Linked DNA regions of Tamandua tetradactyla. The protein of the gene in region 3 purifies or fractionates together with the protein of the main gene of each other region. This does not show direct contact. Links are inferred from orthologs where the notes say so. Each region holds a gene or a part of one and is shown on either strand. Other genes may lie near its edges. The genes, in order: ZNF644, EHMT1, CBX1 and ADNP.

What was found.
Region 1: the proteins of CBX1 (region 3) and ZNF644 purify together in Homo sapiens (affinity purification with mass spectrometry; 3 studies listed by BioGRID and IntAct, with this or other methods). This does not show direct contact. The link is inferred for Tamandua tetradactyla from reciprocal best matches to the Homo sapiens genes CBX1 and ZNF644.
Region 2: the proteins of CBX1 (region 3) and EHMT1 purify together in Homo sapiens (affinity purification with mass spectrometry; 3 studies listed by BioGRID and IntAct, with this or other methods). This does not show direct contact. The link is inferred for Tamandua tetradactyla from reciprocal best matches to the Homo sapiens genes CBX1 and EHMT1.
Region 4: the proteins of CBX1 (region 3) and ADNP purify together in Homo sapiens (affinity purification with mass spectrometry; 6 studies listed by BioGRID and IntAct, with this or other methods). This does not show direct contact. The link is inferred for Tamandua tetradactyla from reciprocal best matches to the Homo sapiens genes CBX1 and ADNP.

The regions. Positions count from the first base shown.
Region 1 is NC_135337.1:33,360,822-33,368,808, forward strand, and holds the start of ZNF644 (zinc finger protein 644), read left to right. Parts: upstream 1-4,966; 5' UTR 4,967-5,482; coding exon 5,483-5,534; intron 5,535-7,987.
Region 2 is NC_135328.1:130,278,843-130,286,020, forward strand, and holds the start of EHMT1 (histone-lysine N-methyltransferase EHMT1), read right to left. Parts: upstream 3,007-7,178; 5' UTR 2,969-3,006; coding exon 2,948-2,968; intron 1-2,947. Other genes in the region: ARRDC1 (arrestin domain-containing protein 1), read right to left, coding at 6,474-6,538, 6,624-7,032, 7,114-7,178. UniProt on the Homo sapiens protein: Histone methyltransferase that specifically mono- and dimethylates 'Lys-9' of histone H3 (H3K9me1 and H3K9me2, respectively) in euchromatin.
Region 3 is NC_135332.1:29,359,744-29,366,727, forward strand, and holds the start of CBX1 (chromobox protein homolog 1), read right to left. Parts: upstream 3,005-6,984; 5' UTR 2,784-3,004; intron 1-2,783. UniProt on the Homo sapiens protein: Component of heterochromatin. Recognizes and binds histone H3 tails methylated at 'Lys-9', leading to epigenetic repression. Interaction with lamin B receptor (LBR) can contribute to the association of the heterochromatin with the inner nuclear membrane.
Region 4 is NC_135327.1:2,009,964-2,017,699, reverse strand, and holds the start of ADNP (activity-dependent neuroprotector homeobox protein), read right to left. Parts: upstream 2,999-7,736; 5' UTR 2,897-2,998; exon of another isoform or gene 2,440-2,896; intron 1-2,439. Other genes in the region: DPM1 (dolichol-phosphate mannosyltransferase subunit 1), read right to left, coding at 2,999-3,103, 3,914-4,028, 6,883-6,951.

The DNA.
Region 1 (7,987 bases), on a different chromosome or scaffold from region 3:
TATTCCCATTTTACATGCAAGGAAAGAAACTCAGACTTGGGTCACACAGAGTTAATGCGGTAGCAGCTAAGCATTGAACTAGGCATGTCTTGATTCTAGAAATGAGACCTTTCTATTCTACCTTCCTGTGTTGTCATCTTACTTAGTTGTTCAACAGTTTGTAAGTTTTATCTCCTGTTCTTCAAATTCCTGTTCTTAAAACGTTACAGAAGCATTTTTCTGTATACCCTTATTTCAAGTGGTGTTTTATTGTCCACATTGTTTATTCATAGCATCACATAAAGACTCTTTGTCTTGGCTGGACATTGGTACAATGATACTGGCCAAAATGGAAGCTGCCTTTTTCTTTACTGAGTAGTTAATATGAAAAAATTCAAGCTTAATCAGAACTAATAATTTGTGGGGCTAAGCATGCTGCAGGTTTAATAATGCTACCTTTTCTTATAGCACATTTAACTTAAAACAGGATAAAGTAAAAGTGGATGATATATTCAGTTTATAACCATCTGAAAACAGAATTTTTCTTGTATTTTTACACTTTGAAATGACTTAAACTTCTTTATTAAAAAAATCTTGAGTGACATTAAAATTAAATGGGTAGTTACTATTAGCAATTCTTAACATAATCTTTAATTATAAAAGAAAATTGTAGTTAATGAAAGAAGAGTATTGAGTCCTTACATTCTCATTGGGAGGATGATATACATCAAAAGATAATTGGAGCATTTATAAATAGATTGTATAAGTCAGTACCGCCCAATAGAAATATAAGTTGTCATAAGTGTAATTTAAAATTTTCTGTAACTGCATTAAAAATAAAAACTTAGGTAAAATTAATTTTATTGATATGTTTTATTTAAAAACAGTATTAAAATATCAAAATACAATCAGTATAAGCATTGGAATAGTTTATGTTCTTTTTTTCATACTTGGTCCTCAGAATCTAGTGTATCTTAAGTACAAAGCATATCTCAATTCAGACTAGCCAGATTTCAAGTACTCAATAGCCACATAAAACTGCTGGCTACAGTATGGGACAGCACAGGTATAGTTAGTAAGTGCTGTAGGAGTATGGACAAAGTGTAAAGTAGAAACTGAACTGAGCCTTAAAAGATGACTGGGTCAAGAGTATGAGACTAAAGGCTGAAGAACACTGTTCCTGTAAAGAAGAGATAGAAATTAAAGCAAGAGATATATTTTGAAAGCAGATAATAGAATAGTCTGAACCCGGTTTAGGAAATTTAGTTTGTATATTGTGGGGTGTGTGTGTGTGTGTGTGTGTGTGTGTGTGTGTGTGTGTGTGTGTGTATTTGAGGGTGCCTAATCCATGGTCATAAATTGAGTACTTGATGAATATTTAATAGAATTAATATGAAGCAGAATACCAAAAATGCTAGAGAAACTCTACTAGCAAAGCCATGTGGGCCTTTAAAGAGAAATTTAGGGAATATTGATACTCTATGGTAATATAATGGAGAGTTTTTAAATAGGGTGAGAACTAAGAAAAGGTTCTTCAGTTTGGCCAATACTTTGTTATTGGTGACCTGTTTTTAAATGTTTTATTTAGACATAATTTACACATAGTGAGGTGTACAAATCGTGAGTACAGGTTAGTGAATTTTTACATATAAGTGAATCTAGGTACCTTCTACCCAAATCAAGATATAGAACATTTTCAGAACATTTTGGGTCCCCTTTTACTAAATGGAAGTAAGATTCTTGTGCCTACTGTCAGTCCCCTTTCAAAAGTAACCACTATTCTGAATTCTATCTCTGTAAATTAGTTTTCTTGTTTCTGAACTTAATTATGGCATATCTGTCCTCCTTTTCAAGGGTAGTGAGAGTTGGTGCTTGTGTCTATTTCTCTTCTATCCTTGTTTGGTATTTGTGAATTTGTTGGTATTTTAGTTTGCTGAAGCTGCTGGAATGCAATATACCAGAAATGGAATGGCTTTTAAAAGGTGAATTTATTAAGTTGCAAGTTTACAATTCTAAGACAAAACAAATGACCAAACTAAGGCATCCAGAGAAAGATAACTTAACTCCAAAGAAAGGGCCCATCAGGGTTTCTCCTCAGCTGGTAAGACACATGGCAGTGTCTGCTAGCTTTCTTTCCTCATTTCATAGGACTTCCCTGGGGGTATTTTCCTTCTGCCTGTCTGCAGGTCTCTGGCTATGTGGGCTCTGTTGGCTCTGAAGCTTTTTCCAAAATGGTTCCCTCCAGTAAGCAATCCCACCTTGAATAGGTGGCGACACATCTCTATGGAAACCATCTAATCAGAAGTTATCACCCACAATTGGGTGGGTCACATCTCCATGGAAACAAAAAAAGATCCCACCCAGCAGTACTGAATAAAGATTGAAGAGTATGGCCTTTCTGGGGTACGGGACAGTTTCAAACCTGTACAGGTGGTAAAACAGACGATGGGTAGCTGGAACCGTGGCCCTTCTGTTTTATTTCGGTTTTTTGTTTGTTTCCCCCAATCTTGATTATGCCAAGTTTAGAGAGATCCTTAGTCTTCACTATTATAACTCTTTAGAGGCTAGTCTTATGATTTCAGTGTTTGTTCAGAATGGAGAGATGTGAATTTCCTTCACAGGTAACATAAATTATCTGGCTTGCTTTTAGTACAGTATTCTCTAAACACATAGCCAAGAAGGAGGTGGAGGAGGTCTTAGGTTGCCCCCTAATGTAGTTGCATTTTGGATCCTCTTTGACAGTAGCTTGTAGGTAATATGTAAGTTTAGCTTTCAGGATTTCATATTTGCTTAATAAAGTATTGGGTATTTCTTATTGTGATCGTAGGGATAGAAATTAATTGGTGTACTACTGTTTACAGATTTGTATCCACCTTAGAATGAGAAAGATTTTGGCATTTATTTGTGTGTAAATAATTAGGATATTACCCTAAGGCAAATTGCACAAAAGATTCACTGGTTAAAACCCGTGAAGGAGATTTCATAAAGTGAGAACTGAAACTAGAATTGTTGATCATGGTTTTTATTTCTAGGTCTTCAATCAGTTTGTTTGTTTTTTTTTTTCAAAATGGGTTAGCAGCATTATTTTTCATAAATACTGAGCACTGGAAGCTTTTATTATATAACAATATTAAATTGGTGCTTTGGGGAGAAATTTGATTTTGTTCTGAAATATGTATTACTAAAAAAAGTTGTAAAAGGTATGTAATGATGAAAATATGTCTTCATATTTTAACATGCTTAGCTTTGAAAATTGGAGTTTTTTTTGTAAATTATGCAGAATGGAGCATGAAGAATTTCTCAGCATTGGATTATGAGTGCTTTTGAGTTTATGAATGAAAATATTTACTCTATTAAAAAGTTGTATGTTTGGACTTTGTGCTTTGTTTACAATTTTTAAAACTAAAGTACATTTAATATATTCCTATTTCAAGAATTTTAATAGTTTCCTTAAAGAAATAATAAAACCTCATCTATCAATTTTTCTTATTGTAGGTTTTGTGTTTGTGAAGTATAGAAGACTAAAGCAGAATTAGGTTAGGAATTGAAAAAGTATATGCTTGTTATCTACAAAATATCAAAACTTTCTTCATAGCTTATTTGGGCTAGATTTCAAAACTTACAAACAAAATTATTACAATGGTACTAATTATATGTAGGAAGAAATGCATTGAACAGTATATGTTTTCCTCTTGACAAAAATGAATGTTATATTTGAATTCGGGATTGGGAGATTTGAATTTTTATATTCGGAAAAGCATTGTGTCATTATATTTCTCCCCACTTTTGCTTGTTTAAATGTTTATTAGTTATTATACAAATTCACTTACTGTCTCACTAGGAATATGCACATATACAGTGCTTCAAATAGCTCCTGATCTAAAACGTGATTTGAAGAGCACCTATTAGGGAAATATTTGAATTACTGAGCTTATGTGAAACAAAATAATATGAATGAATGGTTTATAGAAAGTGTATTAATTAAAAAAAACCTCTTGGCAAAAATTTTTATCTAGATATTGAAAAAGTGGTATGTGTAGATTAGTGGAGAGGGAAGGTACTGTCAGCTATGAGAAAGTCATGTTTAAAAGCACGGAGTAGTTCAGTGATTAGAATGCCCGCCTTCCATATGGGAGACCCAGTTCGATTCCTGGACCATGCACCAAAAAGAAAAAAAAAAAAAAAAAGCACAGAGATGGGAATTATGGAATGCAAGCATTTTCCTTGGCTGAAGTAGAGTTTATTTGAAATAAATATAATGAAAAATAAACTTGATAAGATTGTGTCTTGAGCTAGAGGAATCTAAAGGAGTTTTATGAGAAAGAAATAAGGAGTTTTACTGAAAGCCTTTGAGCAGAATTGCATGAGGAAAAGAGGAGAGGGATTAACAGTCAAGTAATATAATTGGAGAAAAGATTGGTATGAAGAAGGTCTGTTAGGAAGTTAATGTCTTGGTTCACGATGAGTATATGAAGGTAGCATGGGTAGTTTTAAAATAAAACAGGTGGGGACTAAATTAAATCAGAATACGGGGGTAAGGAGGACATTGTTTGCATTTTAGAACTTCACCTACTCTGCGACACCAAAGGAAGAGAGGTTTATTTTGTCCAAAACTTAAATTTTCTGTAGCACATAATCTAATTCAATCTGTTTGGATAGATGATTTCAACAATCCAAGCACATTGAACCCAGAATGGGAATAAGGGCTTGTAATTCTGTATAGCTTAATGTAATGCACGGATACGTCCCAGAGTGTGATGAGAGATACTGAAAAAGTATGGCAAAATCCCTTGAGGGGTGGGAGAAAAATTATGGAACTATTAAACTCTACCAATGAGGAAACTCCTGGTACTGTCTCAAACATTAGGGACTCCCAAGTCAATAGGCCATGCCCTTGATCTTGAGGCTTGCTCTTGTGAAATTTATTTATTTAGTAGAGAAGCTAAGCCTACCTATAGTTCTAAGAGTTACTTCCAGAGGACCTCTCTCTCTCTAAGCCCAACTCTGCAAGTAAAATCATTACCCTCTCCCCTTTGTGGGACATGACATGTAGAGGTGAAAGCTGTCTTGGCAATATGGGAAATGACTTCCAGGGATGAGCCTGATCCTGACACCATGGGATCAGCAATGCCTTCCTGATCAAAAGGGGGAAAAGAATTGTAGCAAATATGGTGTCAGTGGCTGAGAGAGTTCAAAAAGAGTCGAGAGGCTACTCTGGAGGCTACTCTTATGCAACTTTAGCTACATATTGCTGTTTATCATGGTTTGCTAAACCCCAATCCACACCTTTCTTGCCAACCCTAATGAACAGCTAGGGTTTTATCTGAGATTCTACAAAGGTTCCATGCATTATGATTACTCTCCAGAAACTTAGAACCTCTGGATGGATTCCTAGGCCAGATAATTCCTGAAACCCAGAGGGGCCATCTTCTCCAGAAAATGACCTAGTTCTGTCCCCTTCTCCTATATTATCAATAGCCCTTTCCAACATGAAAAAGTTGAAATGGACATAGCCCAAATACCTCTAAAGATGGGAAGAAAGATCAAAGGAGAAGGTGGAGTTATAATAGAAAAAATGACATTTAACAAATGAGTATAACAGCTGAATCATATTTCTTTTAGATCCAGTGTCTTGGAGCAGGTAGAAGGAAAAACCTAAAATTGTAGAACTGTAACCCATACCAAACTGAAATTGTGATGTGCTTTGAAATTTATTGCTTTTTTGTATATATGTTATATTCACAAATAAAAAATAAAGTAGATTTCTATTGTGGCTCCTAAGTTTGTAGTGCAAAGTTAAAATAAGAATGGAATAGTTTTATTATCTTCTGGTATTGAACATAAATTTACTTGGAGAAAATTTTCATTGTTATTAACACTAATTGAGATACATCTGCCTTTTTCTATTAAAAAAAACTGACCTGAGGTTTTTTTTTAAAGTTTGATTTGAAAAATAAGTAAAACACAAGAAAATTATGCTATAGCAGTATTTTCTGAATTTCAGGTACTTTTGAGTACAAAATATTTTAGATGAACGGAAAGAGAAGATGTAAACTGTAATGCTGAGGTTTGAGCATTTGAACTGTGGTTCTAGAGACATTCTAATTGGTAGAGGGACAGTTGGGAAAACAGGTTAATTAAAATTAATAATCTGGGGTGGGCCATCATGACTCAGCAGGGAGGGTTCTTGCCTGCCATGCCAGAGACCCGGATTCGATTCCCGGTGCCTGCCCAGGCAAAATAATAATAATAAATAATAATAATAATATGAACTACCAGTGTTTCAATTTATTTTTAAGTAGATATTTGTTTAAAATTTAGGAGCATTTGGGAACATACTGCTTTTTTTATGAGAAAAATAAAAATCCCTAAACTGTGGTTCCCTCAGGGTGGTGGTAGTATTTGATATTTATGATATGTTTTTCTTAATGTTGACTTTAAGGTTTCCTAAGTTGAAAGTGTGCTATGTTTTATAATGAATGAAGACCTTTTTTACAGTAGAAGTAGAAAAACATGAAATATCACAGAAGTAACATATATTTTAAAATCTTTTCTGCTTTTATTAGAGTTAGAAGATATAGCAGAAATTTCGGAGTTAATGAAATTTTTAAGATAGTATATTTGTCATAACAAGTTTACATTTTAATTGTTATCACAGTTAATATAGACTTAACTTCAGTTAAGAAGTTAATGGTGAGATTTCTGGCAACATGGCAAAACAGGCACATTTGACTCTTAAGCTTACTACTGAGGCAAAACAGCTAAAGTAAAAGAATACATTTTCCCCTACTCACTCTCGTTGGGAAATAGAGATTCTGCATACATGTCTGAAATTTGGGGTTTCTGTATAATAGTGTGGGTGAGCAGGGGTGACCGTGGAACTATCTATTGATTAACCTAGTAAACTGGTGCAAGGAGAGAACGGTGGTGGTGAAGTTAGAGATAATTTTCAGTGGTTGCGGTAGCACTCAAAATTTTGTGCTGTGGCAGTAAATGTCTTACAGTGACAGTGCCATTGACATTTATGCAGTGACATCCTAAATAGGATGCCTGACCGCCTCCTTATTCATCTGATTTTCCAAGCCTGATTCACCAATTTTATTATCAAGTTTGATTATTTGATATTCTTCCCATAGCTTTTTCTGAATTTAACCTTAGAAATTTAGACTGAGAAATATTGTAATTCAATGTTTGAAAATTTATCATATAAAATACATAATAGAAGGTTGAAAGATAAAATTTAGGAAATCTCCCACATGTAACATAGGGGAAAATAAGAAAAAAGATCACACTTGTGGGTTTAACATAGGTGTGATTAAAACTACAGAACAGGAGAAAACGGATGTAGGGAATTGTTTAAGAAAAATTGAAGCAAAACCTTAAGTTTCTAGATTGAAAAGGCTCACAGAATGCCAAACATAGTGACTGAAATAAAGAATCACATTATGGTGAAATTTCAGACACCAGAAATAAAGGGAGGGCTCAAAAATTTCAGGTGAGGGGAGGGAGGAATGGGATGTATAAAAAAGGATTGGTACTCAGTAATGTTGATACTTGAGTAAATAAAATAATACCTTCAAATTTCTGAAGGAGAGTTTTTTCCAAACTATTAATTCTATATACCCTGTGTGTATACCCTACCAAGTGTAGGAGTAGACTAAAAATAGGAAATGTTAGAATATTTACTTCAAATACACTGTATCTCAAGAAGTTAGTACAAGGTGGGCTTCATCAAAATAATTGGGAAATCAAAAAGAGGAGGGAAAACACAGAAGAAATAGAAAAAAAAAGATTTTTGCAACTATATTCATTAAGGGATGTTGATTTGTTTTTGGTGTGAGGATAATATTGTCGTCTTAGTATGAGTTGGAAGAGTTCTTTTCTATTATTTGACCAGTTAGTGAAAGACTGGTGTTAATTCTTTGAATATTTGCTAGCTCTCACCAGTGAAATCTGGTTCTGCGCTTTTCTTTGTGGAAGTTTTTTGACTACTAACTCAATCTCTTTG
Region 2 (7,178 bases), on a different chromosome or scaffold from region 3:
TATTGGATAGATGGAAATACTAGTAGTCAGTGAGAGGGAAGAGTAAGGGGTATGGTATGAATGAGTTTTTTCTTTTTTCTTTTTATTTCTTATGAAGGAAATGCCAAAAGAAACAGCTTATAAGAGTTGCAGTGGCTACTATCCCCTAGAGGGTAAAGGCAGGGAAGAGCTGCCTCTTTTAAAACTGTCTGTTAGCATTGTCTTTTTAAAGTATATTTACAATGCATAATTATGTAATGATACTGTGAGCCAGTGATTGTATACTTCAGATGGTTTGTATGGTGGGTGAGTGTATCTCAATGAAACTGTATTAAAAAAATTAAAATCAAAACATATTTACATATTATTTTTTAGATAATATTAAAGGCAAAGGTAATAACCATCTCACTAGAAAGCATAGTAGGCCTTACGCTGGGAAGGCCCTCCTACCAAAAAATGAGGCAGAAGCCTCAAGTTCTCCCATGGACCCCGTTTCCTAATCCACAAAACGGGACACAGGGTATATATACCCCATCCACTCAGCAGTTCTTTTTAGTGTGAAAATGTGGTAACTATCTTTCTAGGTCAAGGAAAAGAGGAAAGAATGATTAGACAGTTAAGTAAGTTTCAGCTGTCATCTTTACTAGTTTCATCACTGGTAATCAGTGAACTCTAAGTGGCAACAGATGACCCATTCCATAGTATTCAGCCTACACTACACACTGTTCAGGAGAATGACAACCTGGGGCAAGCAGTGCTACAGTACAGATGGATTTCCCCCATAACCTGCTTCCATAATAAACACTTAGAATCATGAAACTGAGACCAGAGTTTTTAAGAAACATAAAATGACCATTTCATTACAGACCTTAAGAAACTGTTCAAAATTAAGAAGATTCTGGACCAAGCATTTTCACAAACAGAACTGTGTTCCAATGACAGCAAGTCTATGAACATACATGCTCTTTGTGCTCTGCAGGCAATCACTTAAACCAGCTCCAAGTAAGTCTGTCCCCCCTGTGCTGGAAACACCCCAGATGCTAGTGACCGGGACAAGCGGTGACTGGAGCAGCATGTGCAGGGGCACTGTGGGGAGATGGGCTGGCTCAAGGAAAACAGAGCAATGAATCCTCCACAAAGCATCACCAAAGGTCCCTGCTGGAAATGACCCTTCCGTCACATCCTTTCCCTCCTCAGATTCAGCACATACTTTGCCAGCATGGGCTTGGAGTCAGACCACCTACATGTTCACCTTTTCAGCCACAAGCTCTGTAACCTTGGGCCTCTCTGGTATGTTTCCTTGTCTGTAAACTGGGCAGCAATAGTACCTACCTGGTAAGACCACTGTCAGGCTTAAATGAGTGCATTCACATAAAGCACTAAATGTACCTAAAAGCAGACTATCATCACTATTGGCTGACAAGCCTCTATTCCAGGATGCCTGTGGAATCAGAGACATCTAGGTCCATTCCCTCATCAATTATTTATCAAGTACCTACTATGTGCCAGATACCAAACAAGTTCTAGTCCTGTAACTGCCTAGGCCAACTTACTTCACCTCTTCCAGTCTTGTTTTGCTCATCAGCTAAACAGGAAATAACAGTATCTACTGCACAGGATGCACTTAATCAAAGAACTTATCTAAAGCGATTGGCATAGTACCCAGGACTCCAGGTACTCAATATAGGATATCACTAATCACTTACACATCTCCCTACTAGCTAGTAAATGACATAAGGCTAACTGATTCACCTCCCTACTAGCTAGTAAGTGACTTAAGGCTAACTGATCTTTTTGTTCCCAGAACCTAATACATTCCTTTAATATTACAGATAATAAATAACTAAAGCATTGAATTTAAGAGCTCCCTTGCATCTTCTCCATTTACTTCTATCAATGCCCCCAATAATGCAATGAGACAAAGATTGTACATTTATCTGAACAAAACTATACTGTTAATTCTATGAATCACGTTACTGTAATAGCTCCTTGTTATACCGTACCTTTCTGATCACTGAAAGTCCCAATAATTACGCCACAAAGAAAAACTAATAGGTAATCACTTTTTTCCAAGTTGTTCACCGATTTCAATCCTGAGACCACACAACTTCTGCTTTTCCATAAGCACACCACCTCCTGTTTGCTTTTCTTTCAGTAGGAAGCTGGTGATGCATCTCACAAAAGTTTAATTTCTATGCTACCACACCGAAGGAACAAACTATCCTTGAGACCGAGCAAGGAGGAAAGCCAGGTTTATCGACAAAAGGAATGTGAACTTTTTATATTCGATGCACTTTAAATCTGCTTGTTTAGAAATAAACTTAAGTCAGCAAAGCTTCCCGTCAAGAGTGCATTTCGGCCTGTGACAGCCACCAGAGACGGAAAAGCATTGTCTGGGGAGCGCTGTGCCAGGACTGACCAACTTTTCCTTGACGATGGTGCCATCCTATTAAGAACAAAGTGAAAGGTCAACAGCAGCCCAGGAAAGAACGAAGGGCAGGAAGCAGCCTCGCCGCTCCTCGCTCCTCAAAGTTCGCCGGCTCACTCGACTTTTCCCTTTTGTCTTCCAGACGCTCCTCGGGGTTCCCACACTCCCAGGCCCACCCAGCAGAAGCCCGGCTCGAGGCGCCCCTCGCGCGGCGCCACAACCCGGGGTCCCGGCCGTGGGCGGGAGACGCGGGAGGCAGGGACGCGCGGCCTCGCCTCACTCGCGACCGGCGCCGGCGCGACCCCCGACCCGCGCCCAGCCCGGCCCGCGCCTCGCACAAAGCGCGCCCGGCGGGCGGCAGCAGCGGCGGCCTCGGCCCGGCCTTGGCCTGAGGCGGCGGCGGCGGCGAAGGGCGGCGGGGGCGCCCCTCAGCCCAGCGTCCGCCGCCGCCCGGCCCCGCCTCGGCCCACCCCCCGCGCCGACCGCCCGCCGCTCCCCGCCCGCCCGTCCGTCCGCTCGCCGCCGGCCCCGCTCGCTCACCTCGGCATCGGCGGCGGCCATGGCCCGGGCCCGCAGCGTGGCCCCGCCCCTCCCGCGCGCCATCGCCCCGCCCGCCCCGCGCGGGGCCAGGAGCCGGGGCGGGGCTGCCGCCTGCGTCTGCGCCTGCGCCCGCGCCCGCGCCTGCGCACTGGAACAGGAGCCGTGGCGGCGCTTGTGGCGGCGCTTGCGCCTGCGCGCTGGGGCTGACGCCGTGGTAACGCCTAGCCTGCGCGCTGGAGTTCGGGCCGCGGCGGTGGCCGGAACTGGCTGCGCTTAGCTGTCCCGGCCCTCGCGGAAGATAGACCTTCACACGAAAGTGGCATTCCCATTTAAAGCAAATATCCTCGCATTTTAAAAAGGCATTCTGGTGGACTTGCCGGGGGTGGAGAAGGATCCGAGTCTCCGACCCCTGACCTCTAACCCGGACACACATTGATAACATTTGCTTTGGTAGAAGGCGGCCCTCCGGTGTTGCGTTCTAGGGTGGTGCCTCAGTTGGGGGTTAGTTCACGGACTGAGAGGGTGCAGGCCCTGGTCGGGGGATGCTCGGGCTGGAAGGTGTGGTCCCGACTAACGAGGGGTGCCCCAGTTGGGGCCGTGCCCGTTTGGGGTGGGGACCAGCTGAGAGAGTAAACTAGGGGAATTGCCCCGAATGTGGGGGGGAGGGGGTTGTGCCTGGCTTGGGGGAATGTCCCAGCTGCGGAAGTTCCCCGTCTGCGGGAGAGTTACTCCAACAAGGGACGAAAAGGTGTCCAAAAGGTGGTTGCCCCCAGCAGGGTGGGAGGGGGGGGCGTGTCTGCTGGGCGAGCTGCCTAGTCGCCCCCTGGTTCCTTCCTAAATACTGACTGCGCAAGGAAGAAGCTCTGCTTGCTGAAGACCAAGGCTTGGGTCCCATCTCTCCCTGCCCCTCATCTCCGAGCTTCCTACCAAGTAGCCCCAAGCCCTTACTGGACCAGCGTGCCCAGCACCACATAAACTGGCCTAGGACACCTCCTCCCACATGTTGGGCTTGAGAGAAGAAGCATGGGCTGAAATCGGGGTTCTCTAGCCAGTCACCGTAGGAATGTGAAGGATGGGCACCTGGCTGGCAAGAACTGAATAAGGCCCTGAGGTCTTGAAGGCACTCAGGACCCCTACCCGTGAATATCCTCCTCAGTCTGGTACTGGCAGCCCACGCCCATGCAGAAGAGGAAGTCGGATATCTTCCCAGCCTTTAGGGCAGCTAAATTGCTCTGTCAAATGCTAAGTCAGCGCATGGCAGGCTGGGGGACTCCAAGTTCTCATAGGGACTCCTTACCCCAGCCCTCCCAGGAGACAGGAGCAACAGCTCTCCTGGCCTGCACATCAAACCTGCCCTGCCTCCCCCACACCTACCTCTCTGGCGCCATCCTCTCCCCCAGCACTCCTGTCCTGGGATGTGCTGTCCCTTACCTGGAACACTGCACTGCTCCCTTCTTTCACATCCTCAAATGTTGCCTCTGTAGGGAAGCCTTCCTTTGCCTCCCCATTTAAAGTTGATACCCAACTCCTAGAACACCCTTGTCCCTATGCCTTGCTGTATTGGGGGCATAACACTTTATGTCTGACTCTCTTAGCCTTTTTTGTTTTTGTTTTGTATTTTGTCTCCCTCACTAGATTGTAAGTTGAGGTGATCAGGAATTTTTGTTGTGTTGTGCCCCTGTGCCTAGGATAGTGCCTGCCATACAGGAGACAAGGTTAGCATTTGTTAAATGAATAAATGAGTAATAATGCAGAGAAAATTCCTTTTCAGGAAATATCAACTGTAAATGTATTTGTCAGGAGGCCACAGGCTCCCTTTTTTCTCCCATTTGCCCAGGAAGAGCAATGGTCACATCTCATGGTCAGCACATGATGTGGTAGCTTAGAGAGGCACTATTCTGGCCAGAGAGTATAGGGGAGCAAGCTGAAGCAAGAGTGCAGTGTCTTCTTCAAGGTCCCAAGGTAGGCAAGAGGCAGAGTGGGGAGACAAACCCAGGTAAGTTGGCTACAGAATGCTGCCTTTCCCGACCACAAGGCTATGCTGCATCTACCAGATATCTAATAAATTATCCCACTTGTGACACTTTTTGCTTTTCTCCAATATTCATCCACTTCTTTTCCCACAAATAAAATTTCATCTGGGCATATGGCTACCTGACTAAAGATCGCAATTCTGTGCCACACTGGTAACAACGGTTGGGCAATGGGATGTGGGCAAAAGTGACCTGACTCATCTTCTGCCTCTCCCTTAAAACATGGAGTCCAAGCCCATTGTCCATTTTCCCATCCCAGTAGGCCGGGTGATGGTGAAAACTGGAACCACCACCAAGGACCCTGGGATGGAAGCCACAATTGTGCAAGACGACTCTACCCCAGGACTGGGCCTACCACCGCTTGTATACGTACAGGAAATAAACTCCTCTCATATAATAGGTGAGGTAGGGACACTTGACCTATCTCCTAACAGTCCCATGGCCTACAGTCCCTTAGCCAAGGTCACCTCTTCACCAGGAGGCAGAGCTGAATTCGAACCAGAGTTCATCACAACCACCACCTGCAGCACTTCCCAGGGTACCCCCAGGACCACTGGCCCCACAGGACATCGGCTGTCATCTCTTTGGTGCAGGATGCCCCTTTGGGAGACCAGGCACTACAGAACCTAGCCTTTTTAGATTGCTCTTGGGGTTTTAGATGAGTCTTTTGGGGGGGTGTGCATGTTCAGAGAATCAAACCCAGGCCTCCCACAAAAAAGGCAGGCATTTTAACCACTGAACTACCTGTGCACCGCCTGGATGACAGTCTTGACATTCAGGAAACTGCAGGAGCAGTACTGCATATGTGTTGGAGCTAAAAAAGCAGTGTCCGTGACAGCCACACTTGACCTTGATGCCAGCAAAACACAGGATGCCAAGAGAAAGGTACTTCTACTGGGGGAGCTGTCTTCGAGCAGGCCCTCCACCCACCCACCAAGTGTTTCCCTATGTGCAGAACTGAGCTGCCAGGAAAGGTGGGTGCCGGAAGTGTACTCTACTCAAATGCAACAGGGTGGTCTTTCTCCACAGCACAAATCATTTCTTCAATTAACTCAGACACTCCAGCAGCAAGCCACAGAGGGCGACCCGAGCGCCAACCCATTTCCTGGACCATTTCCCGGGCTAAAGAGAAGCCCAGGCGCGACGCCCCACCCCCACCCCACAGCAACAGGGCCTGGAAAACTCAGGATTCCACAGCGCCCCCTGAAGGAGGCGGGGGGCGCCCTGAGGGGCAGAGGAGGGCCCCCCGGGGGGCCCGGGGCCCGCCCTTCTCCCAGGCCGGCCTCTGCCCATCTCTACGAATCCAGCTCTTTATTTGCACAAGTCTCTCCAGGGCCAAGCAAGGGGCTCCCTCCCCACCACGCCCGCCGCCGTACGCGGGGAGCCGGGGCCTGAGGCCGGGAGGTCAACCACAGTCGTGGGTCCTGAGAGGCCGGGCCAGACCCGGGGAGAAGGCACGAGGAGCCGGGCTAGGCCCGGGGAGGCCGCGGGGGTCAGCTCCTGGGGCTCGGGCCGCGCTCGCCGCTGCCGCAGCTCTGCTCGTAGGACGGTGGGGCCTCTGCGGGGAGAGAGCAGCGTCTGCGCGGTGCGCGGGGCTCCCGGGCACCGCCCCTGCCCCCGCCGGCGCAGCCGGCCCCACTCACCATCGGGGTAGCCCCAGGAACTGTACTCCGGGGGGAGGATCCAGGCGCTGGTGGCAGGCAGCGGCCCCCCCAAGCCCTCAGCAAAGTAGGGCACTGTGGCACCCGCCGAGATGCACAGAGGGGGGGGCGCAGGGCTGCGCTGCCCAGGGTGGGGCTCGAGGATCGCGGGGCCGGAGGGTGCGGGCGGCGGCAGCGGCGGCTGCGAGGCCTTGGTGGAGAGGGCGGCAGGGGCCTCGAGACGGACGCCCCCGCACGCCGCCGCCCCCTCGTCCTGGGGAGGCGCTGAGGGCAGCACGAGGCCAGGGGGCGGCCCTGGGCCGGGAAGGGGGCTGGGCGGGGCGCGGTTCACAGCGATGTTGCCTATGAAGACCGGGAGGGTCACGGCGGCATCGGGGGCCTTCAAAGAGACCTAGGGGGCGGAAAGGAAGCCGTCAGAGGCCGGGGCCTGAGGCCCGGGCCCCCCCACCCCCCGTCCAAGCCCAGCACGCACCTGCAGGTAGTAGTCGATATGGATGAGGCTGCAGCCGGGCAGGGCCGACTGGGGCAGCGCGGGCA
Region 3 (6,984 bases):
GTTCTCAATGTGTTAGCTATTATTTTTTAAAAAGGCACAATTTGCAGACAAATTAGGCTGCCCCCTACTGGCCTGCTGATCATAAAAGGTAAAAGCAGAAAAAAATACATTACTCAATTCAAATACTGAGGGGATCTAAATTTTGCCCATATTTGAATAACTTCTCCAGTCAACCTTCGGAAGGCTATTCAATTTCTCAACAGAACTGCCTTTGGGAAACGTTTATTATTATTCAACTCTACACAAAGGGCACCAAGATTTTTCAAGATACCTTTAAAACAGAAAATATTTAAGCTTGACAGCTTGCCGTTGAAATCCAGAACCTGGGGCCTCTCCAACTGCTTTCCTAAAGTATTTAGAGTGGTTATTTACACAGTCTGCATACCTTTTCTGTATTTAACACCAGGGCTATTACATCAGAAACTGAGACTAACACAATACACCAAAGGCAACAGTTTACCCTGCCAAGTATCATAGATCTAAGAAAGGCAAACAATTAATTCTGCTGATTTAACACATGGAGTTCTCAGAAAGGATCTCAAAATCCTATTCATCAACAATCTGAATGGCCCTACTATGTACTAGACACTGGATGAATAATAGACTTGGCCTATCTTTATGGAAGGCCACAAACTGGCATTTAGAATTTTACTCTCAAAATTCTTTAAGACTAACATATAAAGTGAAATACCTATCAAATTTGATGCAAAATTTGTGTTAGCACTACGGACAGTATATGGAAAAGGGAAATCTTGCTGGATAAACCACTAGAAACTGACAAAAAAAATGGATCAAATCTCTTTCCTTTTTAAATAGACAAATTTCACTTTTTTATGCAGTTTTATTGAGATATATTCATACACCATACAAACCACCTGAAGTACACAATCGCTGGCTCACAGTATCAATCACATAGTTGTGCATACATACCCATGATCAATTTTAGAACATTTTTACTACTCTCTTACTCCAGAAGAGAAATAAAAGTAGAAAAGAAAACCCAATCCTCTCATACCCCTTTATACCCCCAATCCCAATTACTGACCTATAATATTGTTGTGGTACATGGTACATTTATTACTGTTGATGAAAGAATATAAAAATACTGTTAACTATAGTCTATAGTTTGCAATATCAAATCTTTTTAAATAAACACAAAAATAAACTCCTAGATCCTAAAATGAGCACAAGAAAATATAATGATGACTTCCTTTCTTTAGATAATCAGTTAGAAAATTATAGGTATCTTGTATTCGAAAAAGCAGGAGGCTAGGATACCGTTACCCTACCGAAAGCCAAAGAAGAATGTCACCACTGGTAAAACCGGAAATGACCGAAGATCCTCCACTGCCCTGAAGCTTCATTAAGGTGAGACCAGTTCCAGTATAGGTGCCCTTCAATCACACCACTTCACAAATCAATGTCTATAAGGCATCTATAAGGCAAAGTCACTACTTTTCTGGCTGTATGCATGCATCTGTTCCAAAACCTGCACTTTTCACACCACTGAGGAAGAGAGCTTACCTTACTCCTGACCAGAGGTTCTAGTATAACAGAACTTTTAAAGTTAAACGAATACACATATGAATATAACACCAAACCATGAAAACCTCTCATCTTTAGCTTAGCATTTAGCCTTCTGGGTTTCTTCGGAAAAAAAAAAAAAGGTTTGCACACTTTATATTCACATTTTGTTTCAAAAGGGAACGCTGGTTAAAAAAAAAACAGGAGCCCCCCCAAAAACTTACTTTTCCTTTTGTCTGCCAGTTTCCCACACCATCTCACAATCTCTCACTACCTCATTTCATTCCTTAACTATTAACTCACCTATACATTTCTACAATTTCAGCATCTGTCGTAAGACCTGTGATCATCCCAGTTCAAAACTTACGGAATGAATCTTGAATCAAAACAAGAGGGGTACTAGGACTCAAACAGAGAAAAAAACAAAACAAAACCCAAAACCTACAAAAGTGAAAAAAGCGTGTTCCATTTCTTCTTCACACATTATTCTTATTGCCTCCCATGCAAGCAAGTGCTGCCAGCTTTCTTTTCCCTTCTACCCCTCACAGAAATACTCTCGAGGCCTCCGCCCCACTTATCCTAACAGCTCCTCCCCTCTAGAACCAGGCAAGGCAAAAACCTGCCCCTCCCCCTTCCAACTCCCTCTCCAATTTATTCAACAATTATTCCCCAATCCCTGTTTACACCTAGTCCAGCAGATCTCTCCAAGTAGCACACCTTATGTTTGCTGCCCACCCCCTCACCCCCCTTACAAGTTACAAGTTTCTTCTCCCTAGCCGGCTAGCGAAATTCCTCCCGCAACCCCGGCAGGACCCAATATCCTCGGGTTACACCTCTAAACCTCGGGTCTCCCAGTTGTCATCCCCTCCCCACGCACACCCGAGCAGCAAGGCTGCCCAGCTCGTCCCGTTCCCAGTTTACTAAAGTGTTTCCAGCCCAATCCTGCAGCTACGCACCCAACTCAAGTAGCATTGTCTCGGTCTACCCAGATCTGGAAAAGTGACCCAAGTGTTTGCCCCCCCGAATCGCTTCAATCACTGGCTCAGATTCGCCGCCCCGCCCTCTCCATCCTTCCAGCGACCCGCACCCGACACTGCGCCCTCCGGAGAGCTCCGCGCGAGAAGTAGAAAGGACCGAAGCGGGAACCCGATCATGCTCCCCACTCCCACCCGCCGCCGCTAACGCGCGGCCCCTCACCCTCGGCTCCTGCTGCCGCCGCGCGCCTCCCCCCGCCTCCCTGCCTCTAGCGGGCTCTTCACCTCAGAGCAGCGCCCAAGAGCCCGAGGGGAATCGGTGCTGCGCTACTGACGCGGCGCGTCGGGCCAGTTGGGGAATGGCGTCCAGGAAAGCAACGAGCCGGGTGGCCGCGGGCGAACCCCTCACTGAGGCGGCGTACCGCAGGCCCCGGCCAACGGCCCTCCCCTCTGCGGAACAAAAGAACCTCGCACAGTGCGCTGCCCGCCTACCGCATCGCGCAGGCGCGGCGACCCACCGCACAGCCCTATGGGACTTGATGTCCGTCCAAGACTACAAGACCCAAAGGACCCCGCGCGACCCACGCCGCCACGCACAAATTGCCAGGGCTTTAGGGAGTTTTAATTTTAAGCAGGAGGGACCGATGTCCTATAGTTTAGAACGTTGCACCCTGGAAAGTTAGAACGTGGTTTACAAGCGAGCCTCATGGGTAGGGCCGAAAATTTAACTATTTCTGGACAATTCTGGAACTCAGTTTCTCTATTCGTTGGATTTTTTTTTTTTTACTTTTTAAAAAATTTCTATTTATTAATTACAACAATTAACAACAAAAAAATTAACATATCATTCTATTCTACATATATATATTCGTTGGAATTTTAACAGGTTCCTCATCAGAATTTTATCAAATCTCGGCCTTCTTAAATCTCCAGTGCTCTTAGTATGGGTCCTCCTCCTTAGCATTGAGTTTACTACTCTTGGAGGCTTTCTCTGCCCCTGAAAACAAGGTTAGGTCCTCCTGCTAGGTAGTCCTAACGGCATCCTGGACTTCCCTTTTTCATTGGCTGTGCCAGTGTGTGGCTGTAGTGCCCACTCCTTCATGAACACGCCTTACCAGCCACCCCTTGCTTGTTGTTCTTTCAGACAAATGTTCTCGTTCTCCTGATTTCAACAGGAGGGTTTGTTTCCCAAACCCGTTCATAAGGAAATTCTGTCTACCATCATAACTTTTACCCCACTTTATTGTCATCAATTAATGTCTGTCTTCCCTCCTGGGCTCCAAGCTCCAGTGTTGTGTGGTTCACCACTATTTCCCCAGTGCTCAATACATCCTCTGCGTATAAGTAGTAAAAAGTATTTGTTGAATAAATGATTAATGACTTAGATCTTCTCCTGCCTGACAGTGAAAATGGAGGCGATCAAGCTTTTCTTCATCTCTTCTGCTCACCTCAGATTTGTGGTTTTTTTACTATCTTCTTTTTCCTACCCAATCAATAACTAAAGAGAACTTCTATCAGGTGACGATAACTCCTTTAAATATTAAAGTAGCCTTCTAATCAGGGGGAAAGGGGAAAGGCTATTAAAATCTAGTGCACTTTACCCCAGAATGAAGAAGTCTGCATTTATAGAACTGTTACACTGAACCAGGCACTGGGCAGGACTCAAGAGAGTTGCCATGTAACAAGCGGACAGTATCTTAACAGTTTTGCTAAGGGGGCTCAGGGAGCATACTGAAGAGGGCAATTCTTCCCAAGGATGTGGGTTAGGTCTTCAGAAAGAAGCAAAAATTCATCTACTCACTCCCTCTTGAAGCATTCTATTCTGTTTTGAAAACTTAAATAATGAGAAAATTAGTCTTAATGACATAGCTACTATAATTAAGTGTTTACTATAGTGCTAGGAATTCTGATAAGCCCTCAATTGATTTTATTTAATTCTCACAGCAGCCTGGGAGGTGGAAATTATTATTTCTGTTTTTCAGAGAAGGCTTAAAGGTTGTATAATCTTGTACCATTCATTGTTCAATGATATTCACAAAAAACTGGTGGAATAAAGATTTGAATTTATTTCTAATTGTAACCGAGAAACCAAGATCTAAGCAATGATTTTGATTACTGAATCATACTGCTTTTTGCTTTCTGGTATACTGGAGTAGACAGAGGGGAATACCCTAAACTATAAATTCAGATGCCCTGATATCGGAAATGATTGTAAAGCTCTTATCTTGGGTCTTTGTGACTGCAGGAGCTGTTACTCCGTTTATTTGGTCATTTTCTTGTAGGGCAAAAGTCCTAATGAAGAATTTGAAGTCAGCCTATGACTAGCTTCAGCCCCAGACATTTTGTAAATCATTTCAGCTAGACTCTACTATTAAAAGATAACTTGTCTCCCTTCCTTTTGGCTTACACCTTTAGTATTGAAGTGAAACCTCTGCCTCCCCTCCTTTCAACTTATGTTCTCCTATTGAAATGATAATGATAACACGTTTCCTATTCTCCTTTGAATTTGCTATTAAAAATGATCTCATCTGCCCTTGTTAAAATCCTTAAAAACTTTGAACCCCCGTAAACTTGGGGAGATAGATTTTGGGCCAATGGGCCATCTGCTCTCCTACTATGCGCCTAGAAATAAACTCTTTGTCTTTGTGTGCTGGTTTGAAAGGAAGCATGCCCCCTAAGAAAAGCCATGTTTTGATATAAATCCCATTTCTTAAGGGTAGAATAATCCCTGTTCAGTGCTGTGTGTTTGAAACTGTAATGAGATCATCTCCCTGGGTGATGTGATTTAGTTAAGAATGGTTGTTAAACTGGATTAGGGGATGACATGTCTCCACCCATTTGAGTGGGTCTTGATTAGTTTCTGAAGTCCTATAAAAGAGGAAACATTTTGGAGAATGAGAGCTTCAGAGAGAGCAGAGAATGCTGCAGCACCACGAAGCAGAGCATCCACGAGCCAGCGACCTTTGGAAATGAAGAAGAAAAATGCCTCCTGGCGAGCTTCATGAAACCGGAAGCCAGGAGAGAAAGCTTTAGCAGATGACACCGTGTTTGCCATGTGCCCTTTCAGCTGAGAGAGAAGCCCTGACTGTGTTCACCATGTGCCTTCTCACTTGAGAGAGAAACCCTGAACTTCATCGGCCTTCTTGAACCAAGATATCTTTCCCTGGATGCCTTTGATTGGACATTTCTTTAGACTTGTTTTAATTGGGACATTTTCTCAGCCTTAGAACTGTAAACTAGCAACTCATTAAATTCCCCTTTTAAAAAGCCATTCCGTTTCTGGTATATTGCATTCTGACAGCTAGCAAACCAGAACACTTTGAAACCCCGGTGTCTCAGGAATTGGTTATTGAGCATGTCGGGCAAAAGAATCCGTGGCCTTTTTCCAGTAACATAATTCCGAAACCATAGTCCTGCCTGAATAAAATGCTGCCATCCTTAACGCCTCACATTGAGCTGATTTCTGTTCCCCATATAAATGCCACATACTTTCCCTAGTTTTAGCTGCTGTAGCCACACAGTCAACCTAATCTCTTCTTTCATGTGGTCTTTCTGGTATTGAATTTGGCCTTTATGAAAAACCTAAGACCTTGCTTTTCTAGGCTGTCATTTCCTTAAATTGTACATCTTGGACAACTGTTTTCAGATATAATATATTTCATTTTTAGGTAAATTCTGGCTCTTATGTTTCAAAGTAGAGAGAGCTATCACTGCCATGGTGCTCTATGCCATTCTTTTTTTTTTTTATTAATTAAAAAAATTAACTAACACAACATTTAGAAATCATTCCATTCTACATATGCAATCAGTAATTCTTAATATCATCACATAGATGTATGATCATCATTTCTTAGTACATTTGCATCGATTTAGAAAAAGAAATAGCAAGACAACAGAAAAAGAAATAAAATGATAATATAGAGAAAAATAAAAATAAAAAATACAAAAAATATATATAAACAAACAAACAAACAAAAAACTATAGCTCAGATGCAGCTTCATTCAATGTTTTAACATAATTACATTACAATTAGGTAGTATTGTGCTGTCCATTTTTGAGTTTTTGTATCTAGTCCTGTTGCACAGTCTGTATCCCTTCAGCTCCAATTACCCATTATCTTACCCTGTTTCTAACTCCTGATGGTCTCTGTTACCAATGACATATTCCAAGTTTATTCTCTAATGTCGGTTCACATCAGTGGGACCATACAGTATTTGTCCTTTAGTTTTTGGCTAGTCTCACTCAGCATAATGTTCTCTAGGTCCATCCATGTTATTACATGCTTCATAAGTTCATTCTGTCTTAAAGCTGTATGATATTCTATCGTATGTATATACCACAGTTTGTTTAGCCACTCGTCTGTTGATAGACATTTTGGCTGTTTCCATCTCTTTGCAATTGTAAATAATGCTGCTATAAACATTGGTGTGCAAATGTCCGTTTGTGTCTTTGCCCTTAAGTCCTTTGAGTAGATACCTAGCAATG
Region 4 (7,736 bases), on a different chromosome or scaffold from region 3:
CTAACTCCCACCTGTGCGTGCACCTAACTTTTTCGGTGGGAGGGTGGCACCACAGCCTCCCACACCCCCGCCTGAGGGGAATTATATAATGCCACTGAGGGGCAGCTCTCGCGAGAAGCAGAGGGATTTGCCATCGGCCCACTAGGAGGCGCCGCGGATAATGGCCGCAGTGCGTTTGCAGGGCCCGTGTGCAGGCCGCAGCGCCGGCGGCGGAGGCAGAAGCAGCACGCCGCAGCACGCGGCACTCGAGTCAGGTGGCCGTGCTGGGGATCCCTGCGCGGGCCCAGTGGGCCTGGACTACATGTGGGGAGGGGCACGCGGGCGACCCGGCGGCTCCACGTGCTCGGGGCCCAGCGCAGGCCGGCCAGGGGCAGGGGCAGCGCCGGCTTCGCACGCCGGCCCCTGCCCGCTGGGTCTTCCAGGCGTCTTGCTGCTCTGGGGTAGGACGTTCTTCAGGTCCCAGTGCGGGCTCTTCTATCCGCCTGAGGAAAGCAAGTGGGAAGCCCGGTGTTCGAGGCCTAAGGCCGACACGCGCTGTAGCGGGCCCTACAGGGTGCAAAGGCCACACTGTGTGGTCCTAGGGCCAGTGTGGGCAGCCCAAGCAGCGCTGGACTCCTGCAAGCCGAGGCCAGTCCCAACCAACACACTATCGCCTGGACTGTGGACCTGCATCTGAGAATATATAATTGGGTAGACACTGAAAAGTGAAAAATGGCGACGGGGAAGGATGAGTCTATTTTCTTAGTATGTACTCCGTATACAGACTCGTCTTTTGATTATTTCTCTAAGTTTCAAGTTAAAAACATTTGAAACCATACCTTCAAACCCTATCTCAAAACGAGCCAATTGAAAATGAAATGTAGTTACATATAGAGCAATGTCTTAAGATTTTGCTTAACTGGTTTAACAAAATGTCTTTCATCCAACAGTATTCCATTAATTTCTGTAACTGATAAAATACATCTCTAAAAACCAAACCAGTATTTCAAGGGAAAACAATAGCAGAAAAAAAGTTGGACAAAAACTATCATATGTGGGGCAAAACATTTGATTCTGAGGAATAAGAATGAAGAATCTAATTAGCTGTTGCAGAAGACATGCAAAGGTTAATATAAGCAAAATAATTTTATCTTAAAAGTTCAGTTTTCCTAAAATATACTTAAGATTTTATATTGTGATAATGCAAATATGAAGGGAAAACATCTGTATTTCATCCTTTGCCTCATTTATGAACCAAAAAGGGATGTTCGATTCAGATACAACGTTTAAAAAGATTTTTAAAAGTCATCAGATTTACTAAAAAAATGCATCTGAACAGCCCAGATTCTTTTCTAAATGATTTCCAAATGGTGAAAATTGTCACTGCTCACTTTCTTCTCATTAAATTCCAATAGTGATAGTGTTGTAATAATTGTGGGAATAAGAACTAAAAGATGAGGTTCTCTACTATGGGTTCTCTAAGGTATTTACTTAAACTCTGCTTCACATATTTGACACAAACCTAACTCTGGATTTAGGCTAATGAGAATAGGTTCTGAACAGAGTAGCCCAAAAATTCAGAATATTTACATTTCTATTACCTTAGCTTAAAACTAATAGTTCACATCATCCACTGATGAATTTTCTAGTTATTATTAGTGAAATCCCAATGAGAGAAGTCACATCCCCAAGAAAGGTGGGGCCAGTTGCACAGCCCTGCCCATTAATGGGATGTGTACCCTGGATTCAGCTATTGGAAGGGGGAATATAATGACACCAAATGTTTTATATTCATACTCTGGCATTCATTTCTGGTAGGAACTATTTGAGAGAAATGCAAATGAAAAATCAAACTTTAAATTTCTTCAAGCAGCCAAATTAAGATGGGAAAAGGCAGTAATTAGGAATAGTGTTCATTAAACAGGATTACTACATAACTCAGACACCTCTTCTATTTACTTGCAAAGAAAAGTCAACTTGATCTTAAGCTTTTTTGTTCAAAGTATGTAGTACCCAAATTTTAAAAGGTACATGATCCAAAAGGTGGCTATTATTAAAAATTCATTAACCTTTTAAAAAAAATACCTACCTTTAGAGAAGGTGAATAAACAACATTTGTGCTAGATTTATTATACAAGTTAACCTGCATTTTAACTGGCAGAATACCCTTCTGAATGGAAAATAAAGCTGTCAGGAAGGGACTTATGTCATATGAGTAATGATGTATATTTTGGTGAGGGTATTAAAATAATATGAAAACAAATATTTTGAGAAAAAAATCTTCATAAAAAAATTACCAAAACAGCTAACTTTATGCCTCAAGCTCTTCAGTATTTACTGACAGAGGTTGCTGCTTCTATTAGAAGAGGAAAAAAAGAAAAAAAGAAAAAAAAAAAAAAAAAAACTATGCAATGAACTGCCAGGCTATTTTCAATTCACAGAATATATATTTTAAATACACTTGCTCTAACAGAGGAAATACTTTATCATGGCAGCAGCTGCAAAGACCAAAACCTTAAAATTTTGCTCTAAATGTTTTAACTCATTTAAGACATTTGAGATACATTTTTAAGGACAGGGCAGAGGTATGTTTCTTCCCCCAATTCATACAGGAAACAGCCATATATATTTTATGAATATAATTACTGACATTCCTACTTCTGACATATATTAGATACAAAGAGCTACGGATCCAGCTTTTATAAAGAATATTTCAAAATCATCCTAATATAAGAAATTTGGTATTCACATACTCTAATGAAAGTAGCAATAATTTTGTGCAAAAAATCATACATTTATTTATAGATCTCAGTACAGCAAAATAAAAAAGAAATTGAGGAAAGAGTTCATTTTTCTAATTTAAAATATAAAATGGGAGTTTCTTCAGAAAAAAAGATTTACATGAAATTTACCTTACCTTACAGTTTATGCTCTAAGAGTACATTTTATAAAAATCAGCAACCAGCCTTCTTTTATGTTTAAATTGAAATGAACATAAGTGTAAATGAGTAACTTTCTTTTAAGTAGTAGCAAAAAGAGTCAATAATCCTTTCAAGAAAGAGACTATTTCGTTTCCTCCCAACTTGGATTCACCATAAACACGATCCACAAATGATATCGGAACCTAGTTAAAAAACAGATACATTAAAGTCAATCTTCAAAAAAAGTGGAGAGGCAGAGAAGCACCTAGACAATAGAAACAGCATTAGTCCTACAAAGAAAGTCCTTCAAGTACATTCAGATATAGGGGAGTCTTACAGCAACTGTGTGTACCTCCAAGATTTCAAAATTAGCCATATATTTAATACCTAAACACAGGTCACATGAACCAAATCTGTAACTCTGAAAAGCACCTGTCCTGAACATTAAGTTGGTTTACTCATGTTTCAGGCTGCATTTCAAGGAAAAATTATACCCTTTTACTTCATTCTTTAAGTTACCAGTTAAATTCAGCCCTTTAGCATTATGTTAAAAATCTTAAATATCATGTATCTAATATTTAATATCTAAATTAATACAGATACTCTTCTTCCCCCCAACTGTGTCTATAATTCCAAGTAATTTTTATATGTTCACAGGAAGTGGGCATGTGTAACTCATTATTCATTTTAAAGTAGGTGGCTGTTGGCTATGACAATGAAAATTAATGAAGAGACTCGTCCCACTAATTCTGGCTAGTCAGAACAAAGGGCCAGAATGGACAAGGTATCAGCAACTTTTAGTTATGTAAAATAAATGGTGCCTTCAGTTAATGATTTAAACTTTATATGTCAAAAGTGATCCAAATTTTTAGCCTTGAGAATTGGACATTCTAAACAAGTAGAAGCCTCTCATGTTAGTTTAGTAGCATGAAAGTTAAACTTACATTATAAAGTCTAAACTTGAGTGTTTCTTTATTAGGAATACAACATACTATTCACCATCCATCCCATACCTCGCCAACTGTATAATTCATCTGTCTTGCCCGAACAATCATCTCCATCTGGAAGACATACCCCTTAGAAACACATTTTTCTATTAATTTCTGTAGAACTTCCTTTCGGTATAATCTGTAAGAAATTAAAATAATGTATGAATAAAAATTCACTGGAAATTGTAGAGCCTAAAACTTTCACTAGCAGTTTGTGTATAAAAATTTCTCAGTCAATGATTGTGATATACTTGTCAAAAAAGTCATTAAATATTTGCTAAATAATGTAGAAAATGAATTCTCAATACCTTTTGGAAAATCTTTCTATTATATTATAAAAATCATTTTGAAGAACTTTCATTATTTTAGTTTATAAATTTTCTTAAAATTTACTTTTCAAGTTGCAAAAGAAGAAAATGTTCCAAAACACCATAGCAGTAGAGTTGACAGAAGATGTGGAAGTGACAATATAAACTAGATGCCAAGAAAGAACCTAGTAATTAACAAGATTTTCCTCATCAGCTGAGCTTGGCGATAGGCATGTATAATCGGTGAATGCACAGCCTAACTTTAGATGGACTGCAGCCAAACAGATCTTGCGGGTTTACAAATAAGAGGACCTAGAAGTCTAAGGGCTGTGGACCAGCCCAATCATGTCCTTCAGTCAATAGCACGGAACTCTGTTTTCAGAGTTACCAAGGTCAGAAAATGATCAGTCTCTGAGTAGAGAGGCAGCAATTTCTTTTAGGAAAGCAAGCAGAGGCAGTTTGGGGCAACTCTGTTCCTTTCAACAGTTAAGGTGGGTTGGATCTATGGTGCCTTAGGGTTTAAGCTGTAACCTGTTATTTCCTCAGGGTTCCTCTAAGGTTACTTTACCAGCTGGCTCTGCAAGCTCTTAAGTGGGGATAAGACCACAGCACAGTGTGTGCACTCCTTTACCCAAACAGGTTTCATAAGGATTCAAAATAAAGTAAGGAGACTCTGTTGGCTCTAACAGTTACTCAGTAACAAACACTCTTTGGACAATGTACTGTTTCTGGTACCTCTACATACCTTGGAGTTGTAGCAGTGAATGAGAAACTAAATAAAGATAATATTAATATCAGATGGTGTTAAGTGGGGAAAGGAAGGTGGGTCTGTGGGGTGGGTAAGACTAGAATAGTGAAGGCCCAATATTTTAGCATTACCTTTAAAACTGGGATTGGGCTGTGAATTTTTTCCTCAACTTTAAGAAGTCATTTTACTCCCCTTAAGACTCACTTTCCAAGACATTTATTTCTCCTCACTGTGCCCTACAGCTAATCAGGTAAAATTATATACATGAAGCCATATGACCCAAAAATAAATGGAACTAGGACCAGGTAGTCTTTGCTTTACATCACAATGCATTCTTTTGGGATTCCATTTCTTATTTTGTTAAATAACATGCTTCCTAAATATAGGAAATTTAATAGTAAGTTGAACCTTGCCGCTTATACTTAAGTCACTATCCTTTTGAGGAGACAAGAGCTTTCCACTATTTTGAATAACAGTCAAATTTAACAGGCTCACTTTTACTTGTGTGTGGCTGCTTTGCCATCTGAATAGGACACAGCCACATCACCCCCTCATGACATGAAACCCAGAACTCCCAGGTCATCTTCACCCGCCTTTGAGTCCCCACATGGCTCTATGGACACCCTCACCCCACTGCTCTCCATGCTGTGTTTTTCTCCACAGCATAACCCCCATAAGATACTGCCTATACTTGACGAAGCTGTGGGTCTCACGCCACTGGAACGTGTGAACTCCGTGAGGACAAGGACTTCTGACTCTTGTTCAATGCGTAGCACCCAGTAGATACTCAAAATGAGGGACAAGATGCACTGCTTTATAAAGGCGAGGCGGCCCCCTCTGATGAGGTCAATAGGGAAACCAGGCCAAAGACAAGAACCCCTCCTCCATAAGGAGTGGATCTCCATTCAGAACAATCACACCCTCGGCCTGTAAACCCACATGGACATTCCCTCTGCACAGATATTTTGTGAGTGCCACGATTCTTTCACTGTTGCTATGTAGCAATCAGAGATCTTAATCAGATAACTAATTCCTGTGCCTTGAAGGGATTTATGGGCCCCTACCTTTTATATACCAAATTCTGCTTTCTAGTCAATTTTCAGTTTAACTCTAGAGAGGCTTCACTTTCATTTTGATATTTAATTTGTGATGGCTTCTCTCCATACTTGCTAACCTCTCTCCCTATCGCTGAACGAATGCTGTTCAATAGACTTGCAATTACACTAGAGGTACTAGTTAATCTTTTTTGTTGTTGTTAACTCTGACACTTAAGGACCTAGATTTTCCTGTTTTAAATGAAGGACCTAAGAATTAACATTAAATGGAATAAAGCATATATCAGGTAATGTAAATCATTAACCAAAGCATGATGGGACGTTAGAGTAAATGAACAGACATTTGTAGTTTTAGAGATTAAAAAATAATAATAAAATAAAAATCTAGCAACCTCAGTCTTTAGTCATTTGACATGGCCATACAAAGCAATTCATCTACTGAGGTCTTAAAAAAAGAGACAACAAACACAAACAAACATTAAAAAAAACACCCAGGGACCTAGAACAGCAGGCTTTGGTCCTTTTTTTTTGATATCTGGAAAACAAGGGAACTGAAAAAGGTCTATATAAACATTACTTTAAACTTGTCCGCAGACGATGCAGACCCCCCCCCCCGCCCCCCAGGGACTGAGCACTGATGATAACACCCAACCTGAGCCCTGCCTTCAATGCGCCTTAAAAAAGTCTTTCTCCCTAAGATGATGCTTAGAATTCAGTCAGCTTTCTGGAAAAAAAAAAAAAAAAGAAAAAAAAGAAAAAAGACTCAGGAAAAAAAAGGGTAGAAATGTAAAGATTTCTTTGAAATAGCCACTACAAAGCAAAAGAATTTAGGCAAGAAGTTGTAAATAACAGAAAATATAAAAATAAGAATTCTCACTGTACCTGAAGCTTCCTGTCAAATCAGATGCTCCCGGTCTCAGCAAAATCTGAGTTATAAAATTGGCTCCACGGCTGCCAAGGAAAATAATCAAATCGTCTTTCAAAATATAGTTTATAAAACAGAGAAACATATGCAAACATACGTACTGAAAATACCACACTAATTTCACAAAAATGTTAGTTCACTAGCACAAAGAAATTTTTAGTCAATGAAAGGAAATCTAATACTTTTCATGTTTTCAGAGAACACAGGGAATTTTATTCTTTGAAAAGTGAAATTTGGAGAGGCCCCATAAAGCAACAGTTTCTCCAACTTTAGGTAAGTACTAAAGTAGATTTTTAAAAACCCCTAATCATATTTACCAACAATCATTATTTAGAAATACGAAGATCTATGAAACAGCAAACAGGGATTTGGCAATGTATTTCCTTTTCAGATTCCAATAAAAGAACAAAAGGATTGTTTTCAACTAGGTAATAGGTTAAGTCTGCATAAAATTTTTTTTTCTTTAAAGAAGTAGAGGAAGAATGTTCAGCGTTTTGGAGAATCTCTGGAAAATGACTTCAGACTCATTCCATGATTTTAGATTATGTTTTAAACGCAACTATCAATCAGTTACAAGCTACAGGTGACTAATAGCTCTTACTAACATTTCAAAAATACATCTAAGAGCCTAGAGAACATGACTTATGTATTGCAGCTACTTTAGCATCCTCAGATTCTTTTCTGGGGCAATCTGGAGAGAACAGCTTCTTTACAAAGGAAAGATTTTCTTTATGCACATAAGCACAGGGTTACGCAGATGACACACACAGCCATAACACTGGAATAATGGGTAAAGAAAATACACTTCCTC